Regions from separate parts of the Mus musculus genome. Here all the other regions are reported to be linked to region 2. The links are microRNA targets in miRTarBase. Many come from high-throughput screens and were not tested one by one. Region 2 holds a microRNA gene; each other region holds the end of a gene's coding sequence.
What was found. Region 2 holds the annotated microRNA mmu-miR-1187 (UAUGUGUGUGUGUAUGUGUGUAA, at 1,632-1,654, opposite strand). A microRNA usually pairs through its seed, bases 2 to 8, with sites in the 3' UTR of a target mRNA and lowers its output. Matches are read on the target gene's strand: a 7mer-m8 pairs with bases 2 to 8, a 7mer-A1 pairs with bases 2 to 7 and ends in A, and an 8mer does both.

Region 1 (4,000 bases), not on the chromosome of region 2:
CCAAACCTATTTAATCCACCACAAAAACCTAGCCATGAATACATATATGTTATAATGCATAACTTTCAAAGTAGTGGGGTAGGGTGGAAGGAATAGGAAGAAGAAAAAGAGGTAATTTTCCCAAATGGAAAGAAAAATATTTTAGTAGACAAAATAATTGCCTTAAATGTCTCAGTTGGGACATGTGAAGAGTGAATGGGTCTTGGTTTAATTCTATCATTACATCATAATGAAAATACTTGTGCAAGTATCCTTCCATACATTTGTAACCATAGCCATTGGGAGGCCAGACTGGGCTCTAGAGTGATTGTAGAACTACCTTAGAAATCAACTCCTCATCTCAAAATAACAAAGCAAACAAAATAAGATGAATAAATCTATTTTAATAGTTTTTCTGATATAAAGAGAACAGGCTTATTTTTAACAATGAAAATATATATGCTAAAAGTTACCAATATATGTACTCCCAATATTTCCATCCAAAGAACAATGGAGGGAAAAGTTACTTTCAACCCATTACCATCCTTTTAGCATGTAAAGTTCTCCAAGTTCTCCCACCTACACATATAGTTCAAAGACAGTTGTTCTTTGATAATTACATCAGAATAGAATTTTTAAAATGCACAATTCAAGCCGGGCATGGTGGCGCACGCCTTTAATCCCAGCACTTGGGAGGCAGAGGCAGGTGAATTTCTGAGTTCAAGGCCAGCCTGGTCTACAGAGTGAGTTCCAGGACAGCCAGGGATACACAGAAAAACCCTGTCTCAAAAAACCAAAAAAAAATTAAAAATTAAAAAAAATGCACAATTCATAATGTCCATAAAACTGTTGTGCATGATATGGCAGCACTTTTGTAGCAATACAAAGAGTTGAAAATACTGTCATTACAAATGCTTCCTGTCTCTCTCATGTTGACAAAGATATGAGTCCAGTTCCATTAAATAATTGAGTCAATATCATAAATGTAAGACATATCACCCATCTGGTTAATTAAACATGGAAAGTATAAATGTGAAAGTAAGAATATAAAAATATAAGAATAAGAATAAGAATAATAATAAGAATATGAAGAAAGGCACATTCAAACACAATTGGAGAAAATGTAAACTGACAGCTTGACTGATCTATTAATAATAAAAATGCGAAGATATGGGCACAGGGGAACAGCAATGGCTTGTGCTGTAAGATCGAGAATTGACAAATGGGACCTAATGAAACTCCAAAGTTTCTGCAAGGCAAAAGACACCGTCAATAAGACAAAAAGACCACCAACAGATTGGGAAAGGATCTTTACCTATCCTAAATCAGATAGGGGACTAATATCCAACATATATAAAGAACTCAAGAAGGTGGACTTCAGAAAATCAAATAACCCCATTAATAAATGGGGCTCAGAACTGAACAAAGAATTCTCACCTGAGGAATACTGAATGGCAGAGAAGCACCTGAAAAAATGTTCAACATCCTTAATCATCAGGGAAATGCAAATCAAAACAACCCTGAGATTCCACCTCACACCAGTCAGAATGGCTAAGATCAAAAATTCAGGTGACAGCAGATGCTGGCGAGGATGTGGAGAAAGAGGAACACTCCTCCATTGTTGGTGGGATTGCAGGCTTGTACAACCACTCTGGAAATCAGTCTGGCGGTTCCTCAGAAAATTGGACATAGTACTACCAGAGGATCCAGCAATACCTCTCCTGGGCATATATCCAGAAGATGCCCCAACTGGTAAGAAGGACACATGCTCCACTATGTGCATAGCAGCCTTATTTATAATAGCCAGAAGCTGAAAAGAACCCAGATGCCCCTCAACAGAGGAATGGATACAGAAAATGTGGTAAATCTACACAATGGAGTACTACTCAGCTATTAAAAAGAATGAATTTATGAAATTCCTAGCCAAATGGATGGACCTGGAGGGCATCATCCTGAGTGAGGTAACATATTCACAAAGGAACTCACACAATATGTACTCACTGATAAGTGGATATTAGCCCAAAACCTAGGATACCCAAGATATAAGATACAATTTCCTAAACACATGAAACTCAAGAAAAATTAAGACTGAAGTGTGGACACTATGCCCCTCCTTAGAAGTGGGAACAAAACAACCTTGGAAGGAGTTACAAAGACAAAGTTTGGAGCTGAGATGAAAGGATGGACCATGTAGAGACTGCCATATCCAGGGATCCACCCCATAATCAGCATCCAAACGCTGACACCATTGCATACACTAGCAAGATTTTATCGAAAGGACCCAGATGTAGCTGTCTCTTGTGAGACTATGCCGGGGCCTAGCAAACGCAGAAGTGGATGCTCACAGTCAGCTAATGGATGGATCACAGGGCTCCCAATGGAGGAGCTAGAGAAAGTACCCAAGGAGCTAAAGGGATCTGCAACCCTATAGGTGGAACAACATTATGAACTAACGAGTACCCGGAGCTCTTGACTCTAGCTGCATATGTATCAAAAGATGGCCTAGTTGGCCATCACTGGAAAGAGAGGCCCATTGGACACGCAAACTTTATATGCCCCAGTACAGGGGAACGCCAGGGCCAAAAAGGGGGAGTGGGTGGGTAGGGGAGTGGGGATGGGTGGGTATGGGGGACTTTTGGTATAGCATTGGAAATGTAAATGAGCTAAATACCTAATAAAAATGGGAAAAAAATAATAATAAAAATGCATTCCAACTGACAGGACCATTACACTCAAAGAAATTATCTCACAGGTGCACTCAAATAATGCAGAGATTCACCACAACAAATATTCTACATGGTTTTGTTTAATACCACACACAACACAAAATCCAAGGGCCATGATTAATTAAATTACAATGTAATCATACAGGAGAATTCTATGTAGCCATTAAAAAGAATGAGGTAGATTTACTTATGCTGATATAAAAATATCTCCAATGCTCACTTTATAAGCTTTTATAAATCCAAAACTCCAGTGTGTTTTTTACAAGGAGATGTCCTGAAAAGCAAATGTGTGCATATATACACATTTGTAAATAAACATGTAATTGGACACACATACCATAGTCATGTATACATAGGAATTTTTTTGTAAGAACTCACATGAAATTCTTTAGTGATGATTGTTCCTCCTGCAGTTATTTCTTGAGGAAACTCAGTTTTCATCATACTTTATTGCACAACTTGATATTTCACCATAACCATGTGCTTTCTTTGTAATAATTAAATCAGTTCTTCCTAAAATTAACAGGTAGCAGCAGAGATTCCAAACTTCCAATGATAGAATTTAAATGCAATTTCATTAGAACATTTGTGCTTTTTAATAGCTTTGGAAGAGCTAATTTCCAAGTAGTCCTTCCATTGTCGAATTTTAAAGAAAGCAAAGCAGTAATTATGATGTCTCTTGACTTCTTTTTTCTTGGTTCTAGATTCCAATGGCCGACAAAGTAAGGCAGTCTGTGCCATTGACTTCGCCTTGTGATACTGGAAATGCCTCCACCTTAGTCACAGTATCATAGAGTGGATTGCTCTTCTCTGTATAGCTAGCATAAGGCTGCATTTCATCCTTGAAGAAAGCTCAAAGTTAAAATCCATTCAAAAGAGCTAGACATCATTACCAAAATTACCCAAGTTTCTACCACATTTAGCATCTACTAATAATGTTTAAAACTGTTTATCTGCCTCAGAAGATCAAGGCTTTGTTCTAATAATCTATCACAAACATTTGATGGTTATTTATATTTTGTGTGAAATGGTTGTTGGGTGAATATAGACATGTAGAGGAATGAGGTGATATAAGAAGTATTTCAAAAGAATGAGTCAAAGAAAATAAGAAGCTGGTCATAGGAGACTAAGGAGCAGGCTGCTTTAAGCTTAGATAAGAGAAATATTATAGTGGTGTTTAAATGGGGAAGTGGAGAATTAGACACTGTTTCATGGAGAAGGAAACATCTACTGGATTTCTCCAGAGATTACAATCCAAATTTGGCAAAGTTGTTAAGATACAGTTTATCAGATGA
Region 2 (4,359 bases):
TGTTGTGTAAATGTTGCTCCTCAATTTAAAGCTATTGTTTAATTAAAAGTTAGAGGCTGTGAATGGGCAGAAGAGAGAGGAAGGCATGGCTTGAGTGGAAATTAAGTGAGGGGTCACTAGAGAGACTATGGGTGAGAAAGAGAGGAAGATGGAGAGGGAAGGCTGTGATCCATGGAGCTGGACCATGAGCAAGTGGCCAGGAGAAGTGCATAAATAAAATACCACGTTTCTGTGTCATTTATATGGGCTAGCTAGAATAAATTTTTCATTAACATAGACATATGGAAAACTTCAACAAATGTGTGATGAATGAGCAAAACAAAATTTTTAAGGACAGAATTCACTGATGAAAATCGTCAACATCACGAGGACTGAAAATGTTAAAGTTTAATTGCTCAGTGAAGGAATATTTGAGAGTTGACTCTGATTTTGAAAGCCCTGCTATGAATAAACACTGTTAAGGTTCTTAGGTTGGAGTCAGCACTATCCTAACTCCTGTACAGTCTGAGTTCTCAGAGACCTCTGTAAGAATCAAATAATAATCTTGAAAGAAAGCAAGACAATTGCTTATGCAACATGCTTTGTCCTGGAACAAAAGCCAGGTTCATAGTCAGGCTCATACTCCTCTTGATTTTTATTCTAACAGAGATGATGGCTGTGTTGCTTCCCCATTGGCAGAGGTATCATTTCAGTCTTTCATGATTGATATATTTAAAAGAATAGAAGTAAAACAAAAAGGAGGGGGGCAGGAGAGATGGATGCTTGGTTAAGAACACTGACTGCTTTTCTAGAGGTCCTGAGTTCAATTCCCAGCAACCACATGATGGCTCAAAACCATCTGTAATGGAATCTCTTCTGGTGTGTCTGAAGAGAGCAGAAGTATACACACATAGATAAAATATACAAATTAATCTTAAAAAAAAAGAAGTGAAAAAAATAAGTTGGAAAGCTGGAAGGGGTCAACAGCCTAATCATTTAAGGTCTAATATTAAGCAGGGATCTTATGCAAATAAAGTTTTAACTCAGTGGTGAATTTAGCATTTGTATTGATGGGGAGATGAAAATATTTTAATTCCTTATCAATCTTTTATAGTATCTGAGAAAAAAATGCTAAAATGTGAACTTAATGTTTTTGTACCTCAACTAAAGTGAAGCCAGTATTTTGGTCATAAAAATTAACTTTAAAATAAACCATTATCAAGAAGTGTTGATCTGTGTTGAGGAAATGCTGTAACATAAATTTAAACACAGGCTTGATTAGAAAAAATAATTATTAGGGAAAAAGATTGCACCAATGTCTGAATGTTGACTTCTCGGGAATCAGCTTAATTTTTTTGTAAGAGCCTTATGCTACCATACTGACAACTGAAGGATATCTCAAAGTTTTGCTAATAGAGATTTAAGTGAAATCATAGGGTGATTGCCAGGAATTAAGTACAATTAGAGCTTGCAAAATAAAAGTAAAAAGTAGCCCAGAATAGTTAAGGGAGTTCGGATGTTCTCTTGGTAAATAATCTTACACTCTTCTTTGTGAGATCACCAGAAAATATCAGGAAATGAAAAGTATCACAGTGGAAGGCTACATATGCTCAGATCTTAAGCATGGCTCATTACTATTTTAACATTGTTATTTACACACATACACACACACATATATATATATATGTGTGTGTGTGTGTGTGTAAAAATAAATTGTGTCTATAAGGAAAACAGTTCGGTTTAATACTATATGACAGATACTACACACAAAAGAAAAAAAAAGAAAGAAAGAAAGAAAGAAAGAGGCAGAGAGAGACAGAGAGAGACAGAGAGAGAAATGAAGACCTAGAAATGGACCCACACACCTATGGTCACTTGAACTTCACAAGAGCACTAAAACCATCCAGTGGAAAAAAGACAGCATTTTCAACAAATGGTGCTGGCATAACTGGCAGGTAGCATGTAAAAGAATGCGAATTGATCCATTCTTATCTCCTTGTACAAACCTCAAGTGTAAGTGGATCAAGGAACTCCACCTAACACTGAAACACATAGAGGAGAAAGTGGGGATAAACTTCAAAGATATGGGCACAGGGGGAAAGTTCCTGAACAGAACAGCAATGGCTTGTGCTGTAAGATCGAGAATCAACAAATGGGACCTCATAAAATTGTAAAGCTTCTGTAAGGCAAAAGACACTGCCAATAAGACAAAAAGGCCACCAACAGATTGCGAAAGGATCTTTACCAATCCTAAGTCAGATAGGGGGCTAATATCCAATATATATAAAGAACTGAAGAAAAAGGGCTCCAGAATATCAAATAACCCTATTAAAAATGGGGTACAGAGCTAAACCAAAGAATTCTCAACTAAGGAATACCAAATGGCTGAGAAGCACCTGAAAAAATGTTCAGCATTCTTAAACATCAGGGGAATGCAAATCAAAACATCCCTGAGATGTTACCTCATATCAGTCAGAATGGCTAAGATCAAAAATTCAGGTGACAGCAGATGGTGAGAATGTTGAGAAAGAGGAACACTCCTCCATTGTTTGTGTGATTGCAAGCTGGTACAACCACTCTGGAAATCAGTCTGGTGGTTCCTCAGAAAATTGGACATAGTACTACCAGAAGATCCAGCAATACCTTTCCTGGGCATATACCCAGAAGATGTTCCAACTTGTAATAAGGACACATGGTACACTATGTTCATAGCAGCCTTATTTATAATAGCCAGAAGCTGGAAAGAACCCAGATATCCCTCAACAAAGGAATGGATACAGAAAATGTGGTACATTTACACAATAGAGTACTACTCAGCAATTAAAAACAAAGAATTTATGAAATTCTTAGGCTAATGTATATATCTGGAGGATATCATCCTGAGTGAAGTAACCCAATCTCAAAAGGACACACATGATATGCACTCACTGTTAAGTGGATATTAACTGAGAAACTTAAGACTACCTAAGATAAAATTGGCAAAACACTTGAAACTCAAGGAGAAGGAAGACCAAAGTGTGGATACTTCATTCCTTCTTAGAAGGGGGGAAAATACTCATGGAGGGAGTTACAGAGACAAAGATCAGATCAGAGCCTGAAAACAGGACCATCCAGAGACTGCCCCACCTGGGGATCCATTCCATATACAACCACCAAACCTAGACACTATTGCATATGCCAGCAAGATTTAGCTGACAGGACCCTGATATAGCTATCACTTGCGAGGCTATGCCAGTGCCTGGCAAATACAAAAGTGGATGCTCACAGTCATCTATTGGATGGAACACAGGGGCCTCAATGAAAGAACTAGAGAAAGTACCCAAGGAGCTGAAGAGGCCTGCATCCCTATAGGATAAAAACAATATGAACTAACCAGTACCCCTGAGAGTATATCTGTAGTTGCATATGTAGCAGAGGATGGCCTAGTAGGCCATCAATGGTAGGAGAGGCCCTTGGTCTTGCAAAGATTATATACCCCAGGACAGGAGGAGAGAGAGAGAGAGAGAGAGGTGGGGAGAGGGGGAGAGAGAGAGAGAGAGAGAGAGAGAGAGAGAGAGAGAGAGAGAGAGAGAGAGAGAGAGAGAGAGAGGTGGGGAGAGGGAGAGAGAGAGAGAGAGAGAGAGAGAGAGAGAGAGGTGGGGAGAGGGAGAGAGAGAGAGAGAGAGAGAGAGAGAGAGAGAGAGAGAGAGAGAGAGAGAATATTGACAGTACCTAGTCAAGTTTGACCAAGTATGACTAAGTTTGTATTTTGACTGTCAGCTGGCAAGATAATCCAATTAGATTCCGAAGTTAGGATCTCCTTACCATTATCATATCACAGTAATTTCCCTAGACTTGTTCTTCTTCTTAAGTTAACCTGGGATTCTTTTCTTTATCCAAGCTCCATGTCCTAACTAGTTTTATCTTAGTGGTACAGTATTACTGGAACTCCCCAGCTGTCCATGATAACTGAACTGAGTTTTCTTTGTCCATTTCCAGCTCTTAATAACTACTCGTTTGGAGCTGAGACAAAAGGATGGAACAACTAGAGACTGCCATATCCAGGGATCCATCCCATAATTAGCCTCCAAACGATGACACCATTGCATACACTAGCAAGTGTTTGCTGAAATGACCCTGATATAGTTGTCTCTTGTGAGACTAGGCCGGGGCCTAGCAAACACAGAAGTGGATGCTCACAGTCAGCTATTGGATGGATCACAGGGTCCCCAATGGAGGAGCTAGAGAAAGTATCCAAGGAGCTAAAGAGATCTGCAACCCTATAGGTGGAACAACAATATGAACTAACCAGTAACCCGTAGTTGTTGACTCTAGCTGCATATGTATCAAAAGATGGCCTAGACGGCCATCACTGAAAAGAGAGGCCCTTTGGACACACAA
Region 3 (4,359 bases), not on the chromosome of region 2:
CAGGATCAGGCGTTGGTCTCAGGATGTTTTTTTGGAAAATTAATGTCTGAAAAGTGTTAGTGTTCCTCTTTTTTTTTTTAATCCTTGAAAATCAGAGTGAAAATCCAAATGCATACATGAAGTCATGTCTTAAAACTAAACAAATCCATATAAACCAAATAAACATAGCACTTTCTCAAAAAGCATGCTATGTGATGGCCAGCCCTATAATCATATTTTCTGTTTGGATTTCTTTAATGTAATGGCAGAATATTCCTGTTTTTGCATTTTTGGAAATGCAATCTAGTCTTCTCACTTAACAAACACAGAAGTGAGAATGAAAAACAGATTTTAGTTCAGCAGAATTTAAAACTCAAGAAGGTATAAAAAGACAATTCTCTCCTGTATGGCTTACATTCAATATGGTTTTCTTTTTTATCTGCTTCCCGCTTGTAGTGACTTCATAATATCTATATTCTCAGCACATACTACTTCTTATTTTGAAAGCATTACATGTTCTATTTCATTTGATACATAGTGAGATGGTCTTCTGACAAGTATTTTGATTATGTGGTCTTTGAATGTAGACCAAAAAAAATTCAAGATTTGTTTCCAGTTGAATAGATTTGGTAAGCCTGAAAAAAATATAAAAAACCAACTAGTATAAATTATTAAGTGTTGTAAGTCTTTTTTGACCCTCTAAAGATCAAGTTAATAAAAAATTAAGCAAGAGCTAATGTAGGTCCTTTTGACTGAATTCACCATAAAATCCATGGGTGACATGCCTTTGGTAAGTCTTGATTGTTCTTCACATGATCATTACCATTTAATCTCAAGGGGGTAGGCACTGTGCTGTACAGTAGCTCTCTTGATGGGCATAGATACAAAGGTCATGTTCAAGCGAACATAACTCTACCACATCCTACGTACACAACAAGATAGGACAGGTTTTTTTTCTGATTAAATATGTAAGTCTTGGTAATGGGCCATAGGAAATCCTGAGGTGACTTAATGAAGACTGAACAGGGAATAGAAATACAAAAGGCTACATATGACCAAATTGTGTATTTCCAAAGATAATGGGAGGAGTAAAACATGGCAGTTTTCAGTGAGGTCTAAGAGATCAACCTGTTGCTTTCAAACTACCCCTGAGCACATTTACTCAGGGCTAATGTCATAAATAATTCTGGAGAAGAGGGATGAATAGCTTGCATTACCAGGGATGGAATAAACAATAGTACTAGCAGAAAGAATATTAGGGATACATCAGAGATTTCCCCTATTATCCAGAGGACTTTTGTTAGGATGCTTGTGGTACAGAATAGGTAACTAAGGAGAAGGCTTTAGGCTAAATGACTTGCCTATTAATGGTATCTATTAATGGTGTCTGTCCCAACCTCATCATTCTATTCTAAGCCATTCCATCTCTCTCTATTTCATTTATGACCCTGTAATTCTCCATTGTCACAGAAGCCAAATTATTCTTTTAATTTAATTTATTCTCTCATATATTATGTCCTGACCACAGTCCCCCTCCCTTCATCTGTCCTCCCACCTCCTCTATCACCCCCATCTCTTTTCCCAATCTGTTCTTTCTCCTTTTCCCCCTCAGAAAATGACAGGCCTCCCAGGGATATCAACTAAACATGGCAAATTAAGCTGCAGTAAGATTAGGCAATGATCCCCCTCCCCCAAACTACCACTTGTGTTGAAACTGGACATGGAATCCAGTAGGAAGACAAGGGTCACAAAAACAGGAAGCCAAATTATCTTAATGGCACATAAATCAAATCATGCCACCCTTTGGCTTAAAAATCTTGTCCTCCATTACAAAAACATTAATTTCTCTTAGTGTTGCTAGGCTTTCTGTACCCAGTCCCTACTTGTCCTTTTGACTTCATAATCCACCACTATCATTATTACTCATTATTCTCAGCTCTCTAGGCTATCTGTTAGTTGTTCAAATATCAAAGAGCTCATATGCTACCATACTGGCTATTTTCTCTTATTATTTCTTTGGGTGCTTCTCCTACTCGGCTTCCTCTCAGATGCTATGTCCTTTGAGAGGGGTGTTCACCGACAACTGTGTCTAAGGTAGTCTCCATTCAAACAGCCTTGTTTTAATTTTTTAAAGTCCTGCTCTCAAAAGGCCGTTGGCTTATTTTCTTGCTTATTTATTAATTATCCCCTCCTAGCAGAATGTAGCCTCATGAAGAGAAGGTTACCCCTGGAGCTCCTGGACAGTACCTGGATGCAGCTCTGCCAAAGGACAAAGACATCTGATGTTGGGTTAATATACTTTTGGGGACGGAATATAATTAAAAAAAATATATGTATGTATATGTATTTTCTCATTCTCTCTCTCTCTCTCTCTCTCTCTCTCTCTCTCTCTCTCTCTCTTACCTATCTATCTTCCTATGTATTGTGTGTGTTGTGTGAGTGTGTGTACATCTACATGTGTCTAATGCTCATGTGTACTATGTGTGTGATGTACCAACAAAAGCCAGAAGAGGGCATCATAACTCCTGGAGTTAGAATTACAGGTGGTTGTGAGCTCTCTGGTGTGAGTTTTGGGAACCAAACCCAGGTCCACTGGAAAAGCATTAAGTGCTCTTACCTACTGAGCCATCTCTCCAGTCCCCAAATATACATAAAAACAAAAGAAAGACCAACAACCAAAAACACGCACTATATAGCTTTTCTTTTTCCACAAGTGTCATTAAAAAAGAAGCATGTCTCATGTCATGATCACTATTTCTGCTAAGCAAACAGTAAGTTTTCAGTAAGGAAAACTGAAAACCACCCAACATCTGTTGCCACTTTCCCAAGAACGTGTGAATGTCCTTCCCAAGACACACTTAAAGACATCCTGGTACACAAATGCATTCTGATCGAATTGATCTTTTCCAATGAATAGTTTGGCAAACATATAAAAATGACTTCAGAGGATCTGAGAGTGGCAGGAGGAGAACCCTGATTCCAAGCCACATGTCAATGGTGGCTGAAGGAAGCTTTAGACTGCTCATCCCAGAGATGTGTCTTTAATGGTAAATTTCTTGAAACGTTCTTCAGAGGATGAAGCGTTATGTGATGAGGGTGTCACTGACACATAGTAGGCACTTCGGGGGGGGGGGGACTTTTGATATTAACACATTTTTCTTCAGTTTTCTTGAAAATATCCACAAAACTGGATATGTATGTCACTGTGTTGTGCAGTGGGATTTGGGAGAAGGTAGGAGAGTCAGATAGAATTCCAACCCTTCAGTGTCTCACGCTGTGTTAACTGTTTGCTTTGCCATCGCACTCTTCATGTGCAACAACTTCTTAATCCACTGCATCTTTCTAATCTAAAGTAGCCAGGAATAGCACCATAGAGTAGCGCAGTTTGTATACTCCGTGAAAGTGACGACTAGCTAAGGGGATGAGTGGGGACTAGAATCACCTTGCCATTCATGTATAGATCTGGCAAAAAAAAAATAGCATTATCATAGTTTATAAACAGGCATCCTGGAGTTAGCAGGTACCTCTCCCATAGCATTATATTTTCCAAAATTATCTTCCATATGCGGAGACTGTAGCTGAATGACTCATGGAAACAGGACAACCTGTTTACTTTTTCGAATATCATCATCTTTCTTTCGGTTAATTGTCCTTGGGTGTTTACTATGCTTGGCAATTTTATGTTGGCTGACTAGGGCGACCGTTAGGATGTCAGGAGCGTGTACACGGGGAGGAGGAGGGTGAGTCTCACCTATGACATGTGGTTTTGTTGTGGTTGTTGTTGCTGCTGCTGTTGCTGCTGCTGAATGAGCAACTGCTGCTGCTGTCGACGCCGAGCTGTCCGCAGCTTCTCGAAACGAGCCTCCATCTCTTCCAGGACTTTTGGGGTGTATCTGACCACCAGCTTCACACTGTCCTTAGCAGCCTTGAGAAGTTCCACAGCTTTCTCATGGTGCTCCCCTTCCACACTCTGAGAAGACATGGAGAGAGTTCACTCATTTGTTTCCTCCAGGGACTAATCTAGGATTGTTATCCTAGTAAAAACCCAAACCTCTGACGCTTTTGTCCATAAATTCCAATACTTATAAGACTGAAATAGGAGAGTGGCTGAGAGTTCGAAGTCAGCCTGGGGTGCACTGTAGGCTTCAGGTCAGCCTAACATACGATGTGAAAACTGTATTTAAAAAAAAAAGTCAAAATCAAGGGTCTGGTGTTGTATGCCAGTTTGTAGGGTGCTTGCCTAACATGAAAGCTGCCCTAGGTTCTGTGTTCAATACCACATGCAACCTTGGTGGCAGATGCTAATCATGAGGCAGGAACATAAGGTGCTTAAGTCATATATATGGCTATATAGCAAGTTCAAGGTCAACCTAGGATACG

Region 1: miRTarBase lists Cd200r1 as a target of mmu-miR-1187. Seed matches in the 3' UTR shown: 7mer-m8 at 2,991-2,997.
Region 3: miRTarBase lists Lin7a as a target of mmu-miR-1187. The part of its 3' UTR that is shown has no 7-base or 8-base seed match.

The regions. Positions count from the first base shown.
Region 1 is chr16:44,793,746-44,797,745 of GRCm38, reverse strand. Cd200r1 (CD200 receptor 1) reads right to left here. Exons shown (of 7, transcript NM_021325.3): 7 at 2,769-3,546. The coding sequence ends at 3,406. Among named protein-coding and RNA genes, the nearest start is that of Cd200r4, 25 kb to the left of the region's middle.
Region 2 is chr5:82,797,333-82,801,691 of GRCm38, forward strand. Mir1187 (microRNA 1187) reads right to left here and starts at 1,733; the gene lies at 1,612-1,733.
Region 3 is chr10:107,411,543-107,415,901 of GRCm38, reverse strand. Lin7a (lin-7 homolog A (C. elegans)) reads right to left here. Exons shown (of 6, transcript NM_001039354.1): 5 at 3,731-3,949. The coding sequence ends at 3,731. Among named protein-coding and RNA genes, the nearest start is that of Myf5, 72 kb to the left of the region's middle.